Linked DNA regions of Rhinolophus ferrumequinum. The protein of the gene in region 3 interacts with the protein of the main gene of each other region in a pairwise test. Links are inferred from orthologs where the notes say so. Each region holds a gene or a part of one and is shown on either strand. Other genes may lie near its edges.

Region 1 (7,443 bases), on a different chromosome or scaffold from region 3:
ATTTAATTACTTGAAGGAGTTGAAAAATCCACACTTAACTGTATGCTCTAGCTTCCCACAGAAGACTGCCGTTTTCCACTATCTCAGTTTTTTTTATCTGTATCACGGTACATACCTCCATCTGCAGACTCCAGTCCAGAATAAGTGGTCAAGGAAAGACGAATAAGGTACCTCATCCTGATGATGCTCAAATACAAACATGAAATGTTTAGCCACTGGAAACCTGGTGGGAGGGGCTCAAGAGCACACCAAGTTGGAGAAATTGGGTTGGCAAACTTAGAGCTTTAGGATGGTAAGTTGACATAGCATTATAGTTTAAAAATTTTGCCCAACATGAAGTCTGGTAAGAAGCTTGGGCTCCATGGAAAAGCCTTCCCAGTTTTTTTGGCAACAGTCAGACTGTGACCAGGTCTCAGAGGCTAGTCCTAGGCTTACCATCCAAACAAAATATAGGGTACAGAGAGCCTTATAGAGAAGAGTTCAAAAATATACATGAGGTAAAATGAAAGAAAATAGGAATATTGGGCATTTTAAAAAAGAGAAGTCTGGGAAGGAAACGAAATTTCCCATTTCAGTGTGGCTGGGTAGGTACGTAACTTAATAGATCCCAGCGGTTACCATAGAGCTAAGATATTGATGGCCTCTGGGCCTGCCCCTCTGGTCTATCTCCACATCCTTGTTGAGAGTTGTTCTAAAACTCTGCAACTCTCTTGCTTAAGGCCTTTCTATGGCTTTCCATCATGCTCAGGATCGAATCCAAGTTTAGTCAAGTCTTTTATTATCTGGTCCCATCTATTGCTATGCTTTGTATGCTGTATCTTAGCCTGCTAAATAATTTGTAGTTTCCCACCCTCTTGTCTCTAGGTCTTTGAGCATACTGCCCACGCCTGGAATACTACTCCCTGTATTTTGTTTGGATTTTCCTTTTCCTCCTAGAAGTTAGGGCCCTCCTATGTACTTCCGTAGTACTCTGCTTATCTGGTCACAATAATTACATTAATAATAATGTTTCCTTCTTTTAGACTTTGAGCAACTCGAGTCAGGCCCTGGGTCTTGTTTGTTGTTGCAGTCCTATCATCTAGCACAGGGCCTGGCACTCAGGCTCTCAAGTGGTTGCTGAATGGTTGAACTATAGATCTATAATAGGATATCTGGGCAAAATCACTGCCATGGGGTGGCAGTGATGGGGACTTAGTTGAGAACGAACCTCTAGATCAATGATTCCCAACGTGTGGCCCTAAGATACTTAAGAGACCACAAAAATTATAATAGAAATGGCACATTTATTTATCTATGATAAAGCCAGATGAACAACAGGGATAAAGTTGTTTGCTTTTGGCTAGAATATCAGCTGAGTAAAAACACTAGGCTTCACGTGCTGATCAGCTGGGCTGATGATACATCATAGGAATTTCTGAGACAAGAGTGATGGACCAGACGATTTGGCAATTTTTTATTTACCAAAAAACAATCATAAATAAAAGGTATCCATGAAGTTTTGTGAAAGACAGAATCTTGGGCCTAGATCATTATGGTGACTATTTTCATAATTGCCCGAATCAGTATGTCTCTTAGACTACGGACCTGAACCAAGGACCTTAGGAATCTGTGAGGTTTGAACCAGAGACTCAAGGGGCTTCAGAACTTCCCTAGGACCAAGACAAAGCATCTTCTCGAGAAGATGCTTTTTGTGTAGGAGGAAAGAAGGTGGTACCTGTCTCATGGAAACAAATGAAGCTGGACCCACCAAAGAAGGGCTAAACTGTTCCTTTAGGAGAAGGGGCCTAGAGGCTCGGTTTGGTTGCCTTCGTTAGAATTTTCAAGTCAAACACTTTTTATGGGTGTGTGTGTGTGTGTGTGTGTGTGTGTGTACACATGCATATATTTTTGGGGGGATATAATTTTTTTAAAAGTAGAACTTTTTTTTTTAATGTCAGTCTCTTTTAATCATGGTGAAATAAAATGAAGGCAGGACACGAGTATCTGAGTGCCTACTAAATACAAGGAATGATGAGGTATTTCCACATACAGGAATTGTCTCATAAACAAGAGTGGTAAGTTTACCTGCACTTGAATCAATATTGTCAGAGGGAACTTTATTTGGAAAGCAAACGGAAACAAAACCAAGGGAAGGTGAGAGAATGCAGGACAATCATCCAGTTGCTCCTTCTTATCTAGATATTCTTTTTGTTTTTATAAGGGAGGCCCTTCCTAACAGTGGGCTGACTCCTATAAATCTGCACGTTTTATTTCCCCCTTGGTTTGCTTCAGTTAAACCTGTGCCTGATATTAAGGAACTTAAGTGTGTACCATGGGTAGGGAATAAGACAATTGGGCTTTATTTTAAAGGTGAACTCCAATCCGTTCTTCATGTTTTGTAACTGTTTTCTCACAAAAAATAAGACATTGACTGCTTGATGTCAGCCTAGTAATTCCTCCTCTCTTCTGCATCTGGATGTGTTCACATACTTTCTAACCCTTTAGCTTCCGAATCTAGACAAACTATTTTAAAACGTGAAACCTATGTTTTGTGAACAAGGTCTTGTTAATTGTATTTTTTTTGGACTCAGAGAAAGCTTATGACTAGTCTGTAAGGTAAGTGTGTGACTCACTCTTTAGTCAGAAAGTGCTACTGCAGTTGTCAGCAATGCCCGTTGGTGAGGATATTGGTTTGCCAAGTTATTTAACATTTTATGGTATAAAGACACCGAATCATGTTAAGACTCTGGTATACTGTGTTACCTGATATCACTCTTGGCTTTAAATCTGTATTATTATAAAGGAATGATAATAATAGCTTTTGCCAAGTGAAATCTATACTTAATTCTGCATCACAAGAATCTAATTCTTACTGTCAAAATGAAGTTTTCTCTGAAAATATCTTAAACTTATACTTGATATACTTTCTAACAGAAAAGGTTCTTTGGAAAGACTTATCCAACAAAAGTCTACGGGCTGTGCAAATAACATAAAATGCACTTCTGAGAGGATCATTTTTGCTTCAATTTGTTCCCTGATCATATTATATAGCAATAGATAGAAATAGAATTTCTAGAGTTTGGCTAGGGGTAAGAAGAAAGATTGGAATTTTTGTCTGGGTTGGCTAGGGGTGAGAGGAAAGACTGGAAAATCAGGAGTCTATTAAACTCAATTTCCACGTAATTATTCAAATAAAATTTTAATAACTTCAGTTCAATCCAACTGAAAATGTAGTGTCATCAAAGGGCATTTCCTGCTAAATTTCAAGTTACAGGCTGTGGGCTATTTCTGAGCAGAAGCATCATAGTCTACTGAGCATTCAGCTTATTACCTAAGGTGATTGATGGCATCGTGGCGAGAGGTGGGGAAGAACAATGATCAGCTCATAGAATTTGGCTAAGAAAGAAAATAAACAAAAACAATGCAAATAATAATTAAAGTAGCTACAGATATTAAAATAAAAATACAACTCCAAATATTCACCTCTTAAATTACTAGGAAAAAGTTACAGGGAAAGTTACAGCAAATACAGTCTTTACAGATTTGGGTAACTTTATTTGCCTTTGATAGTGATTGTTAAGCCCTATATCCAATGAAACCATTTTTAAAAGCTCTATGAGGAATGGAAATTTAGATGTCTATTACATTTTTCTTAAAAAAAACAAACAAACAAACAAAAAAACCCTTAAATTTCTGAATGGGCAAGATTCACTTTTGTAGGTAGAGGCCCTGCTTCTTCGTGATCTTCAGCTTTAGATCTAACAACCACAAGAGAAGAAGCTGGGTATCTGTTTAGCTTTTGTTCGTTCACAAATTCCAAGTCACCATAGATACTCAGCTTCTGCAAAATAAAATCAATACACATTAGCAATTTGGATAATTAATCTCTCTAAGATTTCAAGTAATTTTTTTTTTTTTGGTAAAAATAAAAAAAAGATTGCTATAGACATTCTCAAGAATGAAGAATGCCTTTACTCAAAGTGTTACAAATATGAGATTCAGCTGCCAAGGATGGCCAAAAGAGTTTTTTCTACATGTCCCAACTTAAAATATTTAGAAGTATAACAACTGAGTATCAAGAAAAAATTGCTCAGATTTAAATGAAGTTAGTGTGGCCACACCAAGAGCTCTCATTCTAGATGTTTGATATCTTAAGTGATTAATTCCTTTAACTCTTAACTCTCCAAACAAGTTGTCAAATGATTTGATTTAGTTTCTCTCCTCCTAAATGTTTTAACTTAATACATTTGGAAAATACGTGCTATTTTAAAAGGCTATGAGTAGAACAAAGAATATACATGAAACATTTTAACACTGATAGAAAGATCTTCATAAACATATAAAAGCTCCTCAAATTATTACCATTATATCCAAGAAGATAGTAAAACAAATCAAAGAAAGCATAAAACAGTCATTGCAAATGTCATAAAATTCACTGGAGTACAATGGTCACGTCTAATATCTTTGGAAAGTATTTTATTTAGATGTAGGTCTGTCTCCTAAAAGTAAAAAAGTGAAGTGAAAAGTTTTTACTAAGAAATGGGATAGATTTTGTTAACTCACTTCCTTGGCAACAAATCTCAGAATCATGAGTTAAAAATTGAAGTTCTGACGTTACTGATAGGGCAAGTGACTAGATTATACAGCAAGAACCACACAGAAGTACTTAATGTTGGAAAGGTGCATTTAAAAGACGCTGAATAAAGAGTTTAAGTACTTATCAACATTGATACATACTACAACATGGATGAACCTTGAAAATATTATGCTAAGTGAAAGAAGCCAGTCACAAGGGACCACATAGTGGTTGTCTATGGCTAGGAGTGGTGATGGTGGTGGTGGTGGTGGTGGTGGTGATGCTTGGGAGGAAATGAGGAGTGACACTAACAAGTGTGAGTTTTCTTTTGGGGGTGATAAAAATGTTCTAAAAGTGACTGGTGTGATGGTTGCTTACTTAAACATGTTTCAGATATGGTCTGCTGCCTACGCTTTCAAGGCAATTGCTACCCTATAATAAGAAGATGGCCCAGTACCTTATACTTTTGCAGTAAGAGAATAACTTCCAGACAAAATTCAGCAGTTGATGGATTGGACATGGATCTGATATATGTGGCCTCCTTAAAACCCAGAATTAACATGTGATAATTTGCTCTGAGTCATTGTGAAAGAAAAACTTTCAAAACTCTACCTAACAACATTTAAAGACCTTGACACAGCAACCAGGAACTGTTTGAATGATTTCAAACATCAACATGGAAGAAAGTGAAGAGATGGGAGGTGAGGTGGGAGATAACGTAAAGAACTAAATTCCTCATCCTTCAATAGGAAGACATTAGATAATATTTAAAGTTGATAAAACAAAAAAAAATAGAAGATAAAATTTAAAAATGGTAACTATTTGGAAGTTTTATAAAAATGACTGATTTATCTGAAGAGAAAAATTTAACTTATGTTACATGTATTACTTCTAAAAGTTAGAAAAATAAATTCAATTAGTAAATACATATTTGGGCTTTAGGCCTGGACTCTGTCAATAACCATTACACAATCTTGGATAAGTTACTTAAATCTTTTCTAAAACTCAGTTTCTTAACAGAATTTGGATTAAAAAGCTGTAGCACTCACATTGTTTTCTAATTGACTTTTTTTATAAGACTTAAAGCTTCTACAAGGATCTTGTAGAAAAACAAGGTTCTTAGTCTTGGTTTTTTGACAAAGAAAATACTGGTTATTATACTTTAAGACATATTTCACCCTACTTCCTGAGTCACAGAAACCTTTAACATTTAACTTTCTTCTGTCTTGATCTTATTCTTCATTGTATCTTTAATCCCTTGAACAGGGCCTGGCACATAATAAGTTATCCATAAATGTGTGTGATTTACTAACACGAATGTTATTAGGAGTCTTTAAAGCTCTTCTTAACTGACCACACAAAATCAGATGATCATGGTCTTGACAAATAGAGAAAAGGAAGCACACATATAAAGATATAATAATAAGGCAGCATCTATATCAACATCTGTTGCTATAGCGAATTTCTGAGGCTGCCTGATCTCTAGGAAGGAATACCCAATACTGCCAAACCCCATTCTGGTATGCCAAGATTGGCCTGCCTGTCAAGGACCACTATGAATGACAGACAACTCTTCATTATCTTAAATAGATAGCTCAACAAGAAAAACTGCCATCCCATTAATTTTAAAAAATGACATCATAAATGTGACAGAACAGAGGAAAAAAGTAAAGAGGATCAGAATCTTTATACATCAAGTCAATCAAATAACACCGCTTTAAGATCAACCAAGAAAATGAAATTCTTTGCTAACTCTTAATGGCTATTACAAATAAATGATATATAATAAATACCTAACTACTACATGCAAAGCAGGCTAAAGATAAATTATTTCAGAGCTTTCCTAAATAAGAAAAATAAAGCTGCTTATACATTCCTAAGACCACATTCCTGACCTTTATCACCACCATTTTAAGCTTTGTTTCAGTGACTGAAAAGGAAACTTTTTATATTTCATGTTTAAGCTCCAAGAACCAAGGCTGTACTAAAGACACACATTCTCTCAACAGGCTTATGATTTCCTACAAACATACAGAAACATATATAAATAATAAACACAATATAAATAACATTGGTCATAGATGGATTATTCTCGTAGGACTTAAAATGGAGTCTTACTATGGAGAGGGGTCAGCAATAACTTATGCTCCAATAAAATCAATGAAAAGACTTTCTGAAAGTAAAGTTTAAAATAAATGGCTTTTGGCCAAAAAAAAAATTGAATAACATTTCTAACGCTAAGTTCTCAATGATTTTTATAGTAAACAGAGGGGGAAAATATTTACACTGCAGTATTTTTAAACAAAAACAAAAACAAAAATTGTTTATATTGAAAGAAATCCACTAAAATGGCAACACAACAATATTTCTGGATGAAAGGATGATTTTTTTTTCCTGCTTCTTTATATGTACTTTACAAATTTCCACACTAAGTATACAGTATTTTTATAATAAAAATATAGTTGAAACAACCTTAATACCTAGCGGAAGTGTGGTTTCACATACAAAGTAAAGCCTAAAAGCAGTGAATCTAAATAGCTATTTCCACACACTTTTCTAGAAAATATGTCTCCTCAGAAAAGTCTAGACTCTTTGAGGGTGCAGCCATACTTTAATTGTTAAAGCTAGGAAGAAGAGTTCAAAGAGGGGCAAGAAAATAACATTCAGAAGGCAGATAGTTGGAGAGAATGTAACAGCCATCACCAGGTCTCCACGTGGGTCTAAATGCCTTAGGCTTTATGGTCACTAGGATCTAGGAGGCGGAAGTGGGAAAAGTGGGAGAGAATTTCTCACAGAATTAAAGCTATACAATCAAAATTTATTACTACAGAGACAACATCGAAAAGGAAAAGAAAGATCAAGAGTCACCTGGAAAGGAGGGAAAGATC
Region 2 (7,986 bases), on a different chromosome or scaffold from region 3:
CTTGGCACTCAATGCCCCCAGCAACTACTTCCACCCTCCTACTCAGCCTTGCTTCTCACTGCTCCTCTTTCATCCCTTTTGCACCAGTTGGAACGAACTGCTTTCTTGTTTCTACACGTGCCCTAGAAGCACTTATACTGTTTCCACTACTTGCAATATTTCCCCTCCTTTCTTCCATTGAACAAATCATTTAGACCCAGCTCAAATGCTACCTAGCTTCTCCAAGAAGCCATTCCTAATCTTCCAGAAGAATAAAACCCTCTTTCTTCTCCACTCTTTCCAAGGGGTTATCTACCTTTCTTTTAGGACAGATCTTGGAAAAGGACAGGCACTGTGACATAGAACAAAGAGTTCATAATCTAGAGTCAGATGATCTGAGCTGGAGGTACAACTCTCTGGCTCTGAGACTTTTACAGGACACCCCCGTAGATAAGTTAAACTCTGAATCTTAACTTCCCCATCTATAAAATGGCAACAATAACACTATTGATATCATGGGTGTGTTATGAGGATTAAGTATAAGTTACAGAGTGTAAGAAATGCTTTGGCACAATATAAATTAATAAATTGAATCACACTTAGGTGTGAAATAACTGATAAAACAAAAGTGCGACTTCTCCCAGGCAGTTTGCCTGGATGTCTTATGCTGGCTGAGCCTCAAATCCAGGAACAGGTCGGAGGGGAGGGATTTTGAGGGAGAGGGACTTTGAGGCCCTAAAAATCCCATTCCTTGGGCAATCTGAAAAAGGGAAGAAGTGAAGGGTATAGCCATAAAGCTGGAGCCCTAATGGTATTATAGTTACTTATTCCTGAGCTTTTTCTAGGCCCCAGGCACTGTGCTAAGTACCCTTCATAAATTATCTCATCTCATTTCTTCACAGAGTCATAGAAGAAAACCAGGCCCACAGCAGTTATAAAATAAGTGCTCCCCTTCCCACCCCCAACAATGCAGACATGCAAGATATCCTGAAACTCTTCAAAATGATGATCTTATTTTTGGGATGGAGAAACTGAGACCCAAGAGGTTATGAGCGTTTAATGAAACTGTCCAGCCCGTGAGGAAATGGGCCTGGAACCCAGATCTCTTCACTCTCAGGGTGGGAGCCACTGCGTTGCAAAAAGGGGCCAATACTCATTATGAAGTCTACACAAATGGTGCTTCTGGGGCACAATGCCATTTAGGCGGACTACAATATGAATTGTGGCTCCTGGAGTTAGTCAGGTGGTCACCCTGGCTCTGCTTCATGCCACACTGCTCACCCCACCCAAGAAGGAAGCTCCTGAGGCAAGAGGCCCCTAGAGACTGAACCGTGCCCTCCTTGCCAACTATCCCATCCAATGGAGTCTCCTCAAAGGTAATTGGCTTTGTCCATACACCACCCAGCTTGCTCTCCTTCAACATACCTCTCAGGGCACCCTCTCTGTGCCCTTGAGGGAGCCTTGCCCTGAGCTGTCACCCGAGCCTGATAAGGCTGTAACTCAAGCTTCCCCAGTAGCTTTGTCAGCAACACCAACAACCACACTCAACAAACATCAAGGAGGAAGAGGTAACCTGACATGAAGGACTTGAGGACTTCCATCCACGGAGGGATGATGAAAGGGGCCTCGTAGGATTAGAAGACCTAGGCCTTTACAAAGGAGGGAAGAGTGACGGCGAAAGCATGCAGTCAGGCAGGTCAAAGTAGGGGAAGGGGATGACTCCTTGAATGCCACATCACCTGGTCCAATTGAGGACACAGGCCCAATGACTCCTGGGAGAACCAGGGTGTACACCTTGGAATCTGATCTGTCCAGGACTGATTCATTCTCTAAAACTAAACCCCAAACCTGGAGCACTTGCATAAGAAGAGAGCTCTCCTCTGAGGCGGAAAGAGGCAAATGAAAGGCTAACCCCCCCCTTTTTTTTTTTTTACAGTAAGGATGGTAGTAAATGAATGGCACCTGCTGCTCCGAGTGGGGGCGGGGCTGGAATTACAAAGACTTTCAAGGTACACTCAGATGAATTCTGGGGTTCTGAGGCTTCAATGGGAGCAGGATAAAATTGTGTAGGGGTGCGGAATGAGTATGAAAGCCGGGGACCCCAGATTCTAATGCAGGCTTTGCTACTAATTCTCCGGTGACCTTGGTCAAACCGCATCACTGGGCCTCAGTTTCCCCATCTGTAAAATGAGGGGGTTAAATGAGTTCCAAAGGTTCACCTTATCCTGACTCTAAGCCACATGATCCTTGTTAAGGTGAAACCCCTTAGGGCTCTGACCTAGGCAGTCTCCAAGTTTTGCAGGAACCTGGGCCTCATCTAGAAAAAAGGGGCATCCTGGAGGAGGGGAATGCGCTGGGCTTTTATTTTGGAGGTAGGTGGGAAGCGAGTGATTTAAGCTACATGGTCCGGGGGAGGAGAAGCGAACCAAGGCTGAGAGCCGCAGTTTACAAGCCAACAGGCTAGCGGCGATCTCTAACCTCCTTCCGGAGCTTCAGACACTGGAGAGACGATGCTGCCAAGAACCGCGCGCGCACAAACCCTGGTCGCAGAGGCTCGGACCCGGGACCATCACCCCATCCCTCCCTAGCATCGCTTCCGAGCTCCGTGGGGAGTGGCTGTTACTCCCTCCCGGCTCCCCAGCGCCCGGCCCCCTCCCGCAGTGTGGGGGACCCCTCCCCCAGCCCGGGGGCGTCGGAAGCCCTATGGGGGCGTGGCGGGGGCGGGAGCGGGTTCCGCGGCCCTGGGGGCTGGAGGAGGTCTCAGTCGCGAGGCCGCCCCGGGAGGGACCCCGTGCCCTCCGCCTCCCAGCTCCCCACACAAAGGCGCCGACGGTGACGCCACACTTACCGGCCAGAGCGGGCTCCGGGCGCCGGCGAGCGGGCAGGCAGGCAGGCCGGCGGGAGGTTGTGCAAGCGAGTGTGCGTGTGTCTGCGTGTGTCCCTGTGAGTGTCTGCGCGAGTGTGTGTGTGTGTGTGACAGGGCCTCGCTAAGCTCTATGCGTCTGCGTGTGCGGGGGCGTCCGTCCGTGGGTCTGTCCGCCCAGCGCTCTGTCCCGCGTTCCGTGCGCGCTCCTTCGCGGGACCGCCCCACCAAATGCGCTTCAGCTGCGGAGTCGCGGGCGCAGCTGCGGGGTGGGTTCGGCACCCCCCAGCCCCAGCTCCGCCCCGCCTCCCGGCAGGCTTGTGCAGCTCCCCGGGAATTGCGCAGGGCCGGCGGGGCTGGAGGGCGGGAGGTGGGAGCTCCGGCAGCGCCCAGGGCCCGAGTGAGGCCGATCGCAGACCCTTAATCCTGACCCAGATCTCGGGCGCCCCCTCCCCGACTCTGCTCGGAGTCCCCGCAAGCACCGCCCCCGCGCCGAGGTTGCCTGGACAGGGAGGGCGGGGTGACAGGAGAACCGCATCCATTTCATTCATGACTTTCTCCTCCTGGGAGCCCCAGGCCCGGGCTGCGCCGCTACGGCGAGTCAGAGGGATCCCCGCGGCACCGTGCGCGCCGAGCCCGGCGTGGGACAACAGGCAGACAAATGGGGGTAGGGGAAAGTGAGACAAAGGGGTCAGGGCTGGGGGCGCGGGTGTGTTGCGTGGAGGGGCGCTGTGGCGTTACCCTCCTGAGGCTCGCACGATGCCCACACCTGCAGAAGCCGAGTGGTTGCATACCGGGGTTCACACAGTGCCGGGTGCCCGGGACCCGCTCTAGGGCTGGGAATAGGCAACCTCCTTCCTCCCCTTGCCTTTCAGTCTCTGGGGAGCAAGGTATTCCTCTGCCAGGTCTTGCCCTCCGGACGCTTCGCGGGGCGCGCACCTGTCTTGCCTTTCTCGTGGGCACCAGGGGCCCGGGCGCGTAAGGAAGCCCACAATCCCACATTCCCCAGGCTGGCACTCGGTTGGCCAGAGGTTCCTGACATTCCATCCCGATGTTTTTTTTTTTTTTTTTTAAGCGTTGGGCTGTACACAGGGCGGGGATCCTAAGCTCCATTTTTACATGAGGAAACCGAGGAGCACACCACACAGCTACAACCATGGCTCCAGCCACCATACTCTTTCGCCTGGTTTTCGGCAATCGCCTCCTTACCGGTCTCCCTGCTTCCACTCTTGGTACCTTGCAATTGATTCTCTACACAGCAGTCTGAGCGATCCTTTAAAAAAGTAAGTCAGATCACGTTGCTCCTTTATTAGAAATCCTACAATCGCTGTCCATTTCATCCAAGTGACAGCTCAAGCCTCTATAACTGCCTGCAAGGTATCTCATGAGCTGGCTCCCTTTTAACTTTCCAACCTCACTTCTTACCACTCCAGGCCTTTTTAATGCATCGCCAACACGGCAACCACTCTGTGGCCTGAGGACCTTTGCCCTGCTATTTTCTCTGCCTGAAAACTTCCCCCAGATAGTCACAGGGCTTGCTCCTTTACCTCTTAAATGTGTCACTTCAAAGAGGCCTTCTGTGACCATCCTATTTTAAATTGCAGGCCACTTCCCCCATTTTCTCCATGGTAGTCATGATCTTTATTTTGTGTTTCCTGCCCCTGAGACTCTCTGGCTCTTCACTGCCAGCTCTCACCTCAGTCCTCCTGTACCCGGTTCACCCAGCCTCACCAGACCACTCTGTTCTATAAAAAAACAAAAACACACAAAAAACATATTTCCCCATTTCTTGCCTTTGCTTGTGCTGTACATTCAGTCTGGAATGGCATCCCTCCACATCTTACCTAATTTTTAAGGTGCAGTTAAAATACTTCCTCTATGGAGCCTTCCCTCATCTTCCCAGGGACACTTGGCCCCTCCTTCTTTTCTGTTTGCTGTAATTGCAGTTCTTTGTATTTTCCCCCAAGTGCTCTGTGAATTCCTGGGATAGGGCTGGGTCCCTTCTCTCTCCCTAGTTCACAGAACAGAAGGTACCAGCAGTGCATGTGTGTGGATCAAGGACAGTGAAGGGAGGCCCTTGCCTGGGCCTTGGTTAGTCTATAGAAGGGGCACAGAGCCCTGCTAAGTCTTCTTGTTATCCCCAACTAGTCTCCGGTGGGGCGAGGGGAAGGGTAGATAACTGCCAGATAACCAGTTCACGATGCTTGGCCTGTGTGGCAATGTGGGTAGACCCGTCAGCTGGTGCCCAAGGACACGCGCTCTCTCCTTGACAACCGTCATCTCTGTGGTTCAGCATAATGCTGATTTTCCCCAGACGGTATCACGGTAACAGCGGCAGCTACCATAAATGAGTGAATACTATGTGCCAGGTACAGTTTAGTGTGTTTTCAATGCACTGCTATGTTTAATCTGCATGGCAGCTTTGGGAGGGAGGCATTTTGATATCCCTGTTTTTAGGAGCAGAACCAGAAAGAATAAGTGACTTACTTAAGGTCCTCCAGTTGATAGGTGAGGGGTGTGTGTTTCAAATTCAGATCCAGCTAATTCCAAAGCTTATAGAAAGCAGGGATGCCTTAACAGGGCAGGCCCTGGGGGCTGATGGAGGTGAGGGGAGGGGCTTAGGGAGCCTCAGCCAGGTCAGCCTGTCCTAGATTCTTGCTGAACTCAGTTCAGCTAGGGAGTCACAGAGGTATGGCACTGCAGAAGGGCTGGGAACTTGCAGGTTTCTGTCGGTGGTACCTCTGATGGCCTGTGGTGGAACCTGGTCCTTGGCCTTTGTAGTCAATTTCAGAAGACCAGAGCTGCCTCTCAGACATTCCTAGCTGTGTGCTCTGGATTCAAGTCCAGCCCTAGTTGTCAGATGTAGATAACAACGCTTATCTCAAAGGATTATGGCGAGGAAGAAATGTGGTGATATACTTAGAAAGTAAGGGGAGCTCAAAAATGATCTTTTCCCCTTACTTCTTTTTTTTTAAAAGATTTTATTGGGGAAGGGGAACAGGACTTTATTGGGGAACAGTCTGTACTTCCGGGACTTTTCCAAGTCAAGTTGTTGTCCTTTCCATCTTAGTTGTGGAGGGCACAGCTCAGCTCCAGGTCCAGTTGCCGTTGCCAGTTGCAGGGAACACAGCCCACCATCCCTTGCGGGAGTCAAACCGGCAACCCTGTGGTTGAGAGCCTGCACTCCAACAAACAGCCATCTGGCCTCCTGGGAGCTGAGCGGCAGCTCATTGACTTCATTCTAGTTGCGGAGGGCACAGCTCGCTGGCCCATGTGGGAATCGAACTGGCAGCCCCGTCGTCCAGAGCTTGCGCTTTAACCAACTGAGCCACCGTCCGCCCCTCCCCTTACTTCTTGGAGGGAGTTGCTATCATATAGGGATGTACTTAAACGAGTTTCCTCACCCCATGTCTGCCCTGTACACCCTCTTAGAATAGCTTCTGATTCCCATAGTCCATTGAGTGTTGCCCTGCGGTGCAGGTAAGGAAGAAAAGTCTAACAATTATTGAGAGCTTTACCAATAGCTATCCTTGTTTCTTCTCTTCATTCTCTCTTTTATCTGCACAGACACCTTAGGAGGGAGCTATTGTTATCACCAACAAGGAAACTGGAGCCCAGAGAGGTCCAGGGACTTTCCCATGGCCACCGCCCTCACTAGGTAATGGCCGTAATGAGATTCTAACCACGTCTGACTCTGCATTGAGCCAGCACTCTTCCCTCAGCCCATCACCATGCAAAGCAACCCCAAGTTCTTTTCTCTTCTCTAATGGGGAAGAAGGAAAGTTCTCTGAAACCCATGACAATGAAGTAGTTGTGAGGTTGGGAGAATTTAGGCTTATTGGGTCATTTTGTGTGACTCGTTTGCTCTCTCTTGATAGATGGAGGAAGAGGTGTTTGTGAAAGAGAAAGATGGTCTGGTAACCAGAGTGTCTTGCTGGTATTTTCTGATGGACTGTTAGAGATTAGAGTCAATATGTTTTGTTTTTTGGCCTCACTTGCAGTTCATTCTTGGTAATAAAATGTTTTGCTTGAGTGAAAATGTTGCCCTATCCAGATTTTTATTTATTTACTTATTTATAATCCACCCAATCCACAAAGGATTTGAGGTAGCTTACCACAAGAGCAGAAACCATAAAACAATGTTAAAATATCAACAAGGATGGAGAATCAGGACGGAGGAAAGCGTAAATAAACTTTGAGAGACAAGACCAGGCTTAATACCGTGTTTCCCCAAAAATAAGACCTACCCCGAAAATAAGCCCCAGTTAAGATTGTCGGCCAGATGGACGCATTTGATACGTTATGACGATGTTCCAGAGGAAGATGACATGACTGTATTTGGGTAAATACAGATTGTTGTACATGAAAAAATAAGACATCCCCTGAAAATACGCCCTAATGCGTCTTTTGGAGCAAAAATTAATATGAGACATGGTCTTATTTTTGGGGAAACACGGTATAAGACCTGGTCTCATTTTCTGGGAAACACGGTAATTGCAGATGATTTTTACTGAGTTCTTTTTGTATGCAAATAATTTATGTACATTATTTCATTTCATCCTTCAAAGAGCCCTGTTAAGGAGGTGGTATTATTATCTCCGTTTTGAGGTATAGGGAGCTGAGGCTCAGAGAGATTAAATGTGATACCCAAAGTCATGTAGGTAGTAAGTGGTATAGCCAGTGTTTGGATCCAGTTTGATAAGGAACTTATGTCCTTAACCACTTGTCCTGTCCTGCCTCTCTGATGGACAAAAGACCACAAGTTTGCAGACCACAGGGCCCTCTAGAGGGCTGAGCCTCAAATTTGGTTCTGACCTTTTTGGATGCCAAAAAGAAAGGGAAACAGTCAGTTACATAGAACTAGTGCCCTCACATCCTTCAAATCTCTGCTCAAGAGTCACTTTCTCAAGAGACCTACCCTGACCAATCTCCTTAATCAATACTGGAGTCTGTCTTCTTCTGATCCCTTCAGTAGTCTCATTCTCCGTTTATCTTTTCTTCTAAGATAGCACATTTTACCTTCTAACATTGGAGAACTTCTAAACTATATAATATATATATATATATATATATATACAATATATATTTTATATAACGTAAGGTATTCTATGATACATTCTATATTAATACACTTATTTATACAT
Region 3 (7,440 bases):
GATACTTAAAGTCCTTAACTGATTCTCCATCTCGAGTATACATGTCTTAATGTGACACTTAGGTCCCTTCAAGATCTGGCTGTGTCTCACTTTCCTCATCTACGACCACTCTCCCACATATCCTAAGCTCCAGTCACAGTTATGAGTAGTCAATATTTTATTCTTTTGTTGCCTCTTCCCATTTCCTCTTTGTCGGGCACACTCCCATTCAGCCACTTACACTCAGTTCGAAGTTCTCCTTTCCGCAAAGCTTCCCTCTCGCTCCCCACACCCAAGTTGTTAGCCTTTTTTTCAGGTCTCTTATTTTGAGGCTCACCACACACTTTGTTGTAAATTTGCTCCTATTTAAGGCAAGAACTCTCTCTCGGACCTCCTTAGGGCCGAGGAGAGTGAATGACACATAGTAATTCTCAATGTTTATTGAAAAATGACTGAATTTAATTACAATGCATAAGCTAAATGCAAGGACTGTGTTATGGGTATTATTCAGTGGCTAATAATTCGTGATGGAAATTAAAGCTCTGGAAAGCTATGAAGTAGTCCTAGAATTAGAAAAAAGGATTCAGAAGTGAGGCCCAGTGTGTTTGCTTAATATTTATTGAACAGTGTGAACAGGTAATGAATAAGGAGATTGAAAGTTGCTGAAATTCTTACTACAACCTGGGGATATGTGTACATTGTATTTACTTACCCACTGAACAACTAAGTCTGTTACCATCAATTTGTGTTAGAGTATTTTGTGCTTGGGTAAAAATTCACACCGTTTTGATTGTCCTCTTTGCAGAAATGAGAAAAGGCTAGGTAGATGACACAGGTGAATATAACTAACTCAGTGTTCTATTTTTCAAACAGAATGCATCATTTAGCCTTGCAGAAATGGATATTGCAAAATTTAATTCAGCACCAAGTTGAAAACACAGTATTTTTCAACCATGTAAATCAGATCGCATCACTCTCCTGCTCCATACCTTTTAACTGCATCCCATCTCATTCCGAAAAAGATGTAATCTTTCACCATGGTCTACAAGGCCCCACGTGATCAGGCCTGCCTACCTCTTTCCAGCCTCATCTACTAGCACTATCTCCTTTGCTCATTCCACCTCAAACACACTGGCCTTCTTGCTCTTCCTAGAACATACCAAGCTCATTTTTGCTTAAGGAGCTTTGTAAGAGCTATTCCGTCCTGTTGACACTCACTTCTCCCAGATTTTTGCATGGTTTACTCCCTTACTTCATTCAAGTCGGCTCAAATGACATCTTTTCAAAGAGGCCTTTCAGGGCTACCCTATTTAAAATTAGAACGCCCCCTCCCTCTATTCCTTTGCCCTGCTTTATTTTCCTGTACAGGCGTACCATGGAGATACTGCGGATTGGGTTCCAGACCACCGCAACAAAGAGAGTATCACAATAAAGTGAGTCATAATCTTTTTGCAGGTGGAGGGTCTTGCCTTCAGTTTGCAAAAAAACGCAACATCTGTGAAGCACAGTAAAGTGCAATGAAACGAGATATGCCTGTGTTGTCATTAACACGGCCTCTTAATATTTATATATTATCATCAATCCACTAAAAAGGGGATTTGTAAGTCTTTTCAATATTTTGAAAAGTAATCTGCAGTATGAACAACATGTAGGGCAGTGCCTGGTACAGAGTAACCTCTCCCAATAAATACACGTTAAAAAAACGTTATCTATTTCATTTTCCAGTCATTCAAGTCCTAGGACCTTGGGTAACTCACAGAGCTAATACTCAAGCTCTGACCCTTAAATGAAAACAATGAAACAAAGTCTTATCTGCCTTGCCATCAAGATCTAGTTCGTTCTGAGGCAAAGAACTATGTATGCTTCCTATGGATTTAACTCAGGGGTGTCCAAACTGCGGCCCGCGGGCCAACTGCGGCCTGCAATCAATCCATTGTTAATTGGCCCGCAGCAAATTCCAAAAATATATTTAGTTTACTTAAATAAACCAGGTGAGGCAATACGTACTTCACCTCCAGTGAGTGGCCCAGCTGTTTGTGTATTTTACTGCATATGGCCCTTGGTGAAAAACGTTGAAAAAAGTTTGGACACCCGTGATTTAACTGGACGACTCTAGCTACTCCAGACAAACCCTGCAGCAACCTGAATTTTGAAATCAAGGGGCAGGAAACAGTCTAAGCAGAACGTAAGAGGACCACACCTAAACACTACAATCCTGATTTTAAAGACCAATTCCTCAAAACTGATATTTACCAACCCCCAAAGTTATGATTCCTTTGGGTTCTTAACCCTTTTAGTGCTACGGATCCTTTGTCAGTCTGGTGAAAACTATGGACCTCTTCTGAGAATAATCTTCTAAATGCATAAAACAAAACACAGAGAGCTACAAAAGCAAACACTTTTACTGAAATACAGGACCGCAGATTTAAAGTCTCCTATGCTCTTCATGCCAAAGTGAAAATAAGACGAGAAAATTTTGCAGGCTATAGGAGGATCAAGAATTCCAAGGAAACGACACTCCAAGGTCCATCCCTGAGCACCCTAAGAGGCAACAGGGAGATGCTGGGCGCCGGGACCCAGCCCACTTTAGGGGGCGTGTTTGAAGATAAGGAGCGGAAAGAAGAGGACCCAGGTCTGGAAGAAGAGTGGGAGTTTTTCCTCCCTGAACGCGCGGGGCCGAGTTTCCCACGGCTCGGCCCGCCCCGCCTCACCTGTCCCTGCAGTCCCCAGGAGCCGCTCCGGCACCGCTCGTAAGTCTTCATGGAGGCTGCGGAAGATCTCATGTAATTTCTCGAAATGCTCGGAGGAGGCGGCGGAGGTCGCCATGGCGCAGGCCGCGCTCCAGCAGCGGCCGCGGAGATCCTGGGTCCGGGACCCGCTCCTAACCCGGCGGCCAGCCACCTAGCCCCGCAGGCATCTCCGCAACCACAGCCACCACCACCGCCACCTTGGACCAGGCGCTTCCGGGGCTGCGGCGGGGTCCTCCAGAGCCGGAACGCCCACCCCTTCATCTGTCACTGAGGGAGCGCCGGGCGCGAAAGCCTGATGGAAAATCTACAGGACTGAGCTGCTGGGGCGACTCCTGTGGGACCGACGGCGCACCGCAGTGAGCGACAGTCCCGCAGTCCCGGAAATACCAATCCCATGGCAGGGGAGTGTGCCACAGAGGAAAGGACTGTGGGGATCCGTGGCACCGGCAGCGCGGCCGCCTCTTTTTAGGGCCCTGGCTTCCGGCATCGGGCTTACGCTGCAGTGCATGCCGGGGGCTGTAGTTCGGCGGGGGAAAGCGCTCCGACTCAGAGGTCAAGCTTTGCGGGGGTCGGTGGTTCCTCCAGCGCCGTAGCAGCGAAGGGTTAAGCTGACACGCAGTGGTTTGGTATCAGTATGCGCCCGAACATCATCTTCATTCTAATCGCACTGTTTGGCCACCCTAACTTCCTTAGTTCACGACCTGTTGGCTTTCAGCCTCGAAAGGTAGAGGGGCCCGGTCCCTGCTTCTCCTCGAGCGTTAGGTAAAGCACTTTTTCTGGGGAGGTCAAGTGACCAGGGTCACATTCTTTCAGAACTCGTCCCCCGGTGGTGTGATCCCCAAAACAGACTCAGCCTCTAGCAGCTGGGCTGGCCTTCGTGCAATCCTTCGCTCAGCAGGTGTTTAACGTTAAGCGTAATCACTGTGCAGGGGTCTGGCATATGTTGGTGAATGAAAGATTCACTCTGCCCTTGGGTAATTTATAATGTGGTAGGCAAGGCGACGCGGCTTCCAGTCTCCTTCCCACTAAGTGTGATGTATTAACAATGTCCTTTCCTGCGTTCCATGGTTTTCATGATTCAGTGAAAGGGAATTCCTATTTTTACTGATTTCATGATTTGCCCAAGGACCCCGTTCTGAAATGTTTGCTTGGCAGCCCTATACTTTAAACTGCCCACTCATATTAAGAGATATATGACTGTTCAGGAGGAAAGATCTGGTGATTTATGTTTCCTGGACCCGACCCTTATTTTTATTGAGTTCACTGACCATTGATGGAACAAACTTTTGTTGAGCTCCTTATATCTATTAAGCATAGAGAGATAGCAAAGTCTGAGTGTTAGTGGCAGTGTACTGAGAAGTCCCATAGCATGTTATAACAGGAGCAGGTACAAAAAGGAGATAAATGCCCTGGGATCGAAAGAATGACCTTTGAGGGGCCTGCCAGGTGGCTCAGGTGATTGGAGCGCGGAGCTCCTAACGCTAAGGGGGCCAGGTTGAATTCCTACCGGAGCTGCGCCCTCTACAGCTAAGATTGTGAACAGCAGCTCTCCCTGGAGCTGGGCTAAGGTGAGCAGCTGGAGGTTGTCGCGAGCAATGGGGTGCCTCCCAGGCCCCATACTGCCGCCTGCTGCTGTGAGCGGCCAACTAACAACCGGTGACCAACTGCTTCCGCCCAGAGGAGCGCAAGGCTATAAATACCAGCATGGGCCAGGAACTGTGTCCTACACAACTAGACTGAAAAATAACAGCTTAAACCAGAGTGGGAGGGGAGGCGGAAGAAGGGGGGAAAAAAGAATGATCTTTGAACAGCATCATAAAAGTAGAAAATAGGTGAATAAACAACAAAAGAACAAGACAAACAAATGAGAAACAAAAATTCATAGACACAATAGTTTAGTGGTTACCAGAGGGTAAGGGGGGTGGGGGGTGGGAGATGAGGGTAAGGGGGATCAAATATATGGTGATGGAAGGAGAACTGACTCTGGGTGGTGAACACACAATGGGATTTATAGATGATGTAATACAGAATTGTACACCTGAAATCTATGTAATTTCACTAACAATTGTCACCCCAATAAATTAAAAAAAAAAAAAGGTGAATGAATAATCAAATCATCACACAACTGAGTGAATGGCATTTCAGTCAAGTGTACTGTGGCTAGATTCTAGGACATATTATCCATAGAATGAGAAATGATCTGGGACAAATTATCCTTAGAATGAGAAATGATTGCATAACCATAATAATGAAGTGTTTTCTTCTTTTGACTATAATTAAACTTTCCTTTAATTGTTTCTGTTGACTCTAAACTTTCCTTTAATTCTTAGTTTTTATTCTGGAAAATAAAAACATGATAAACAATCAAAATATTTTCTTTGTCATTGACAGGTCAATATAAATTAAGTAAAATATTAATTCAGTTATTCTACTGTACTATTATCAGAAGTTTTCCAATTTTTCCATAAAATGACTGTTTCTGAATATATAGTTTAATGATCAAAACAAGTTCAACAAAAGATTATTAACTTACAAATATGAGAAGACTGGGGTCCTATAACTCTTTTCTCCACTGAGTAAATATATAATTGTCAGTTCAAGAAAATCACAAATAACATACTCTAAACAAGTGATAGAAACATTACCAATTCCTTAGACTTCCTTTGGCAGCATTACTTTTGTAAAAGCTCTCCAAATAAAATGTAGGTTTTTTTTTTTAAGCAAATAGACATTTTAATCTTGTCAAGATAATGTAAGGAAACGCCTTGAAAGATTATTAAATTGACTGTAACTGCCAATATCAGTCCTTAAGATAATTTTGTTAAATAACGAATTGAGGTGTTTTTTTTTTTGTTTGTTTTTTTCCTGCCATATTAGTTAACTGGTGCTTGTTAAGATAGTGCCTTAGCAGTCTTTGTAACTAAGGTGCTCTGCTCACCCTTAATTCTTCTTTAGCTGGATATTACCATCTTTAGTTGTTTTTTTTGTTAGTTTGTTTTTTTTAATCCTTAAGTAGTCCCTTCATTGCATGCATTATGTTCCAGGCTTATCCTCTTTTCTGCTACCCATGTGCTTCTTAGTGGGTAGGTATCAACATACAGAGTCTGCTTCTGCTTGCAGCTCTACCCATCTGTATCAGAGACTGGATGACACTGGTTTGCTCCAACTCTTATCATTTACCTGCACCAGGGTCCAGTTTAAGATTGTTCCTTTGTGGCTATTTTGAATTTTGTGAAAATACTCCCAACTGCATAAATACACAAGAATACATATACTCGGTAACAATCACCAAATAGCCTTTCCCCTTTTTCTGGTTTAAGAGAATCTCAGGCAAAAAGGGAGGCCTCCGTGGATCTGGGGTCAGTAACTGAAGTCAGGAAGCCTCCTTTCTCAAACTGCTCCTTTCACTATCCCCTTGCTGGTCAGAGAAACAGTAGGAAAATGACAGTTTAAACTTGATTTTTATTTCTGCCTTCCTCCGAATTTCTGCCATCCTACAAACTCCACAGACTGTTTAGAAAAGTTCTTTCATGGTCAAGGCATGGGAAAATGTCTTAGCAGTGGATTTAGGTTGTCAGAGAGAAAGCTGTGCCACAGTCCAGATTCAGCTAAATTTCTTGAAAGAATTCAGATGTTGGTGCCATGATGGTTTTCTTAAGAGGTGAGGGACAAGCCCTGCTCTTGAGCAAAGCCACTGTGACTCCTGGAGTTCAGCGGAAGCTGCATCACGGTCTTCTTCAGGTGAAGGTTGGTCAGTTGGTTGGTTGGAACTTCATTGTGAACACAGAGGGTAGAAACTAGTCCAGACTGCCTCAAATCAACCCTGCTAAAGTTTTGGTTCTCCTAGGTAGTAGGTTTCAGAAGGAAAATACGAATTTGCAGGTCATATGAAGGTCTACTTATCCTATGATATCTCTAGTAACTCTGGTAATAACAGAACCAAAGTGATTCTGGACAAGTGCAAGGTGTCTCGGTGAATCTGGCAGTGTACCCTGGATTTTACTGGACATCATGCTGGTAAGGCTGGAAGGTTTGTTCCATTTGTGCTCAAGGTTTTGGCCATCCTGAAGGAGAATCATTTTGGCAGGGTGCACTGAGTGGTCCAACTGCCACCACCCGTCAATCCATCGGGATGCCCAGCAGGTCACAGCTGACATCCCATAGCCGCCTTGCTATCGTCTCATTACGACCCTGCGCAGAGACCCAGGCCACATCGCAGTCACTGGAAGGGAAAGAGGGGTTTAAAGAACTGGGTTAAGAATGGAGTCCATTCTCCATCTGGGATAACGAATATGACAGAAAAATGACCCAGGGATAACGTCCTTTAGGCTCTTCACAAATCCAGCGTTAATCTCTTCATTCTCCAATCTTTACCCCAGAGAAAATGTAATTACATTTTAGATCTCACTAGACCACCTCTGATCAGAATGCTTTGTTTGATATAAATGCATATCATTTAGTCTTTATATCCCCCTTTGTATGTATATAGTATTTAACTATGATATCAGTGCCTGCCTGACACCTGTATATGTCCATCTTGTTCAAACAAATCTCTGAGGTCCTTTCTTCAGGCTTTGTACAGTGTCATGGAACTGAGATCCTGCTATTTACATTGGTCACAAATGTTTGGAGTGGAAAAAAACAAACAAAAAAAAAAACCCAACACACTTATTTCTGGTCTTCCTGCAGTTATAACTGTCCTTAAACTCGA

The links. The genes of interacting proteins can lie anywhere in the genome.
Region 1: the proteins of VTI1B (region 3) and LDLRAD1 interact in binary tests that used the Homo sapiens proteins (3 or more experiments, as listed by UniProt). The two-hybrid records come from large-scale screens. The link is inferred for Rhinolophus ferrumequinum from reciprocal best matches to the Homo sapiens genes VTI1B and LDLRAD1.
Region 2: the proteins of VTI1B (region 3) and PTPN5 interact in binary tests that used the Homo sapiens proteins (3 or more experiments, as listed by UniProt). The two-hybrid records come from large-scale screens. The link is inferred for Rhinolophus ferrumequinum from reciprocal best matches to the Homo sapiens genes VTI1B and PTPN5.

Annotation. Positions count from the first base shown.
Region 1 is NC_046292.1:38,714,011-38,721,453, forward strand, and holds the start of LDLRAD1 (low-density lipoprotein receptor class A domain-containing protein 1), read right to left. Parts: upstream 3,012-7,443; 5' UTR 116-3,011; intron 1-115. Other genes in the region: TMEM59 (transmembrane protein 59), read right to left, coding at 3,665-3,820.
Region 2 is NC_046294.1:35,297,713-35,305,698, reverse strand, and holds the start of PTPN5 (tyrosine-protein phosphatase non-receptor type 5), read right to left. Parts: upstream 3,012-7,986; 5' UTR 2,828-3,011; intron 1-2,827. UniProt on the Homo sapiens protein: May regulate the activity of several effector molecules involved in synaptic plasticity and neuronal cell survival, including MAPKs, Src family kinases and NMDA receptors.
Region 3 is NC_046289.1:29,057,962-29,065,401, reverse strand, and holds the start of VTI1B (vesicle transport through interaction with t-SNAREs homolog 1B), read right to left. Parts: upstream 3,018-7,440; 5' UTR 2,806-3,017; coding exon 2,691-2,805; intron 1-2,690. Other genes in the region: RDH11 (retinol dehydrogenase 11), read right to left, coding at 6,849-6,951. UniProt on the Homo sapiens protein: V-SNARE that mediates vesicle transport pathways through interactions with t-SNAREs on the target membrane. These interactions are proposed to mediate aspects of the specificity of vesicle trafficking and to promote fusion of the lipid bilayers.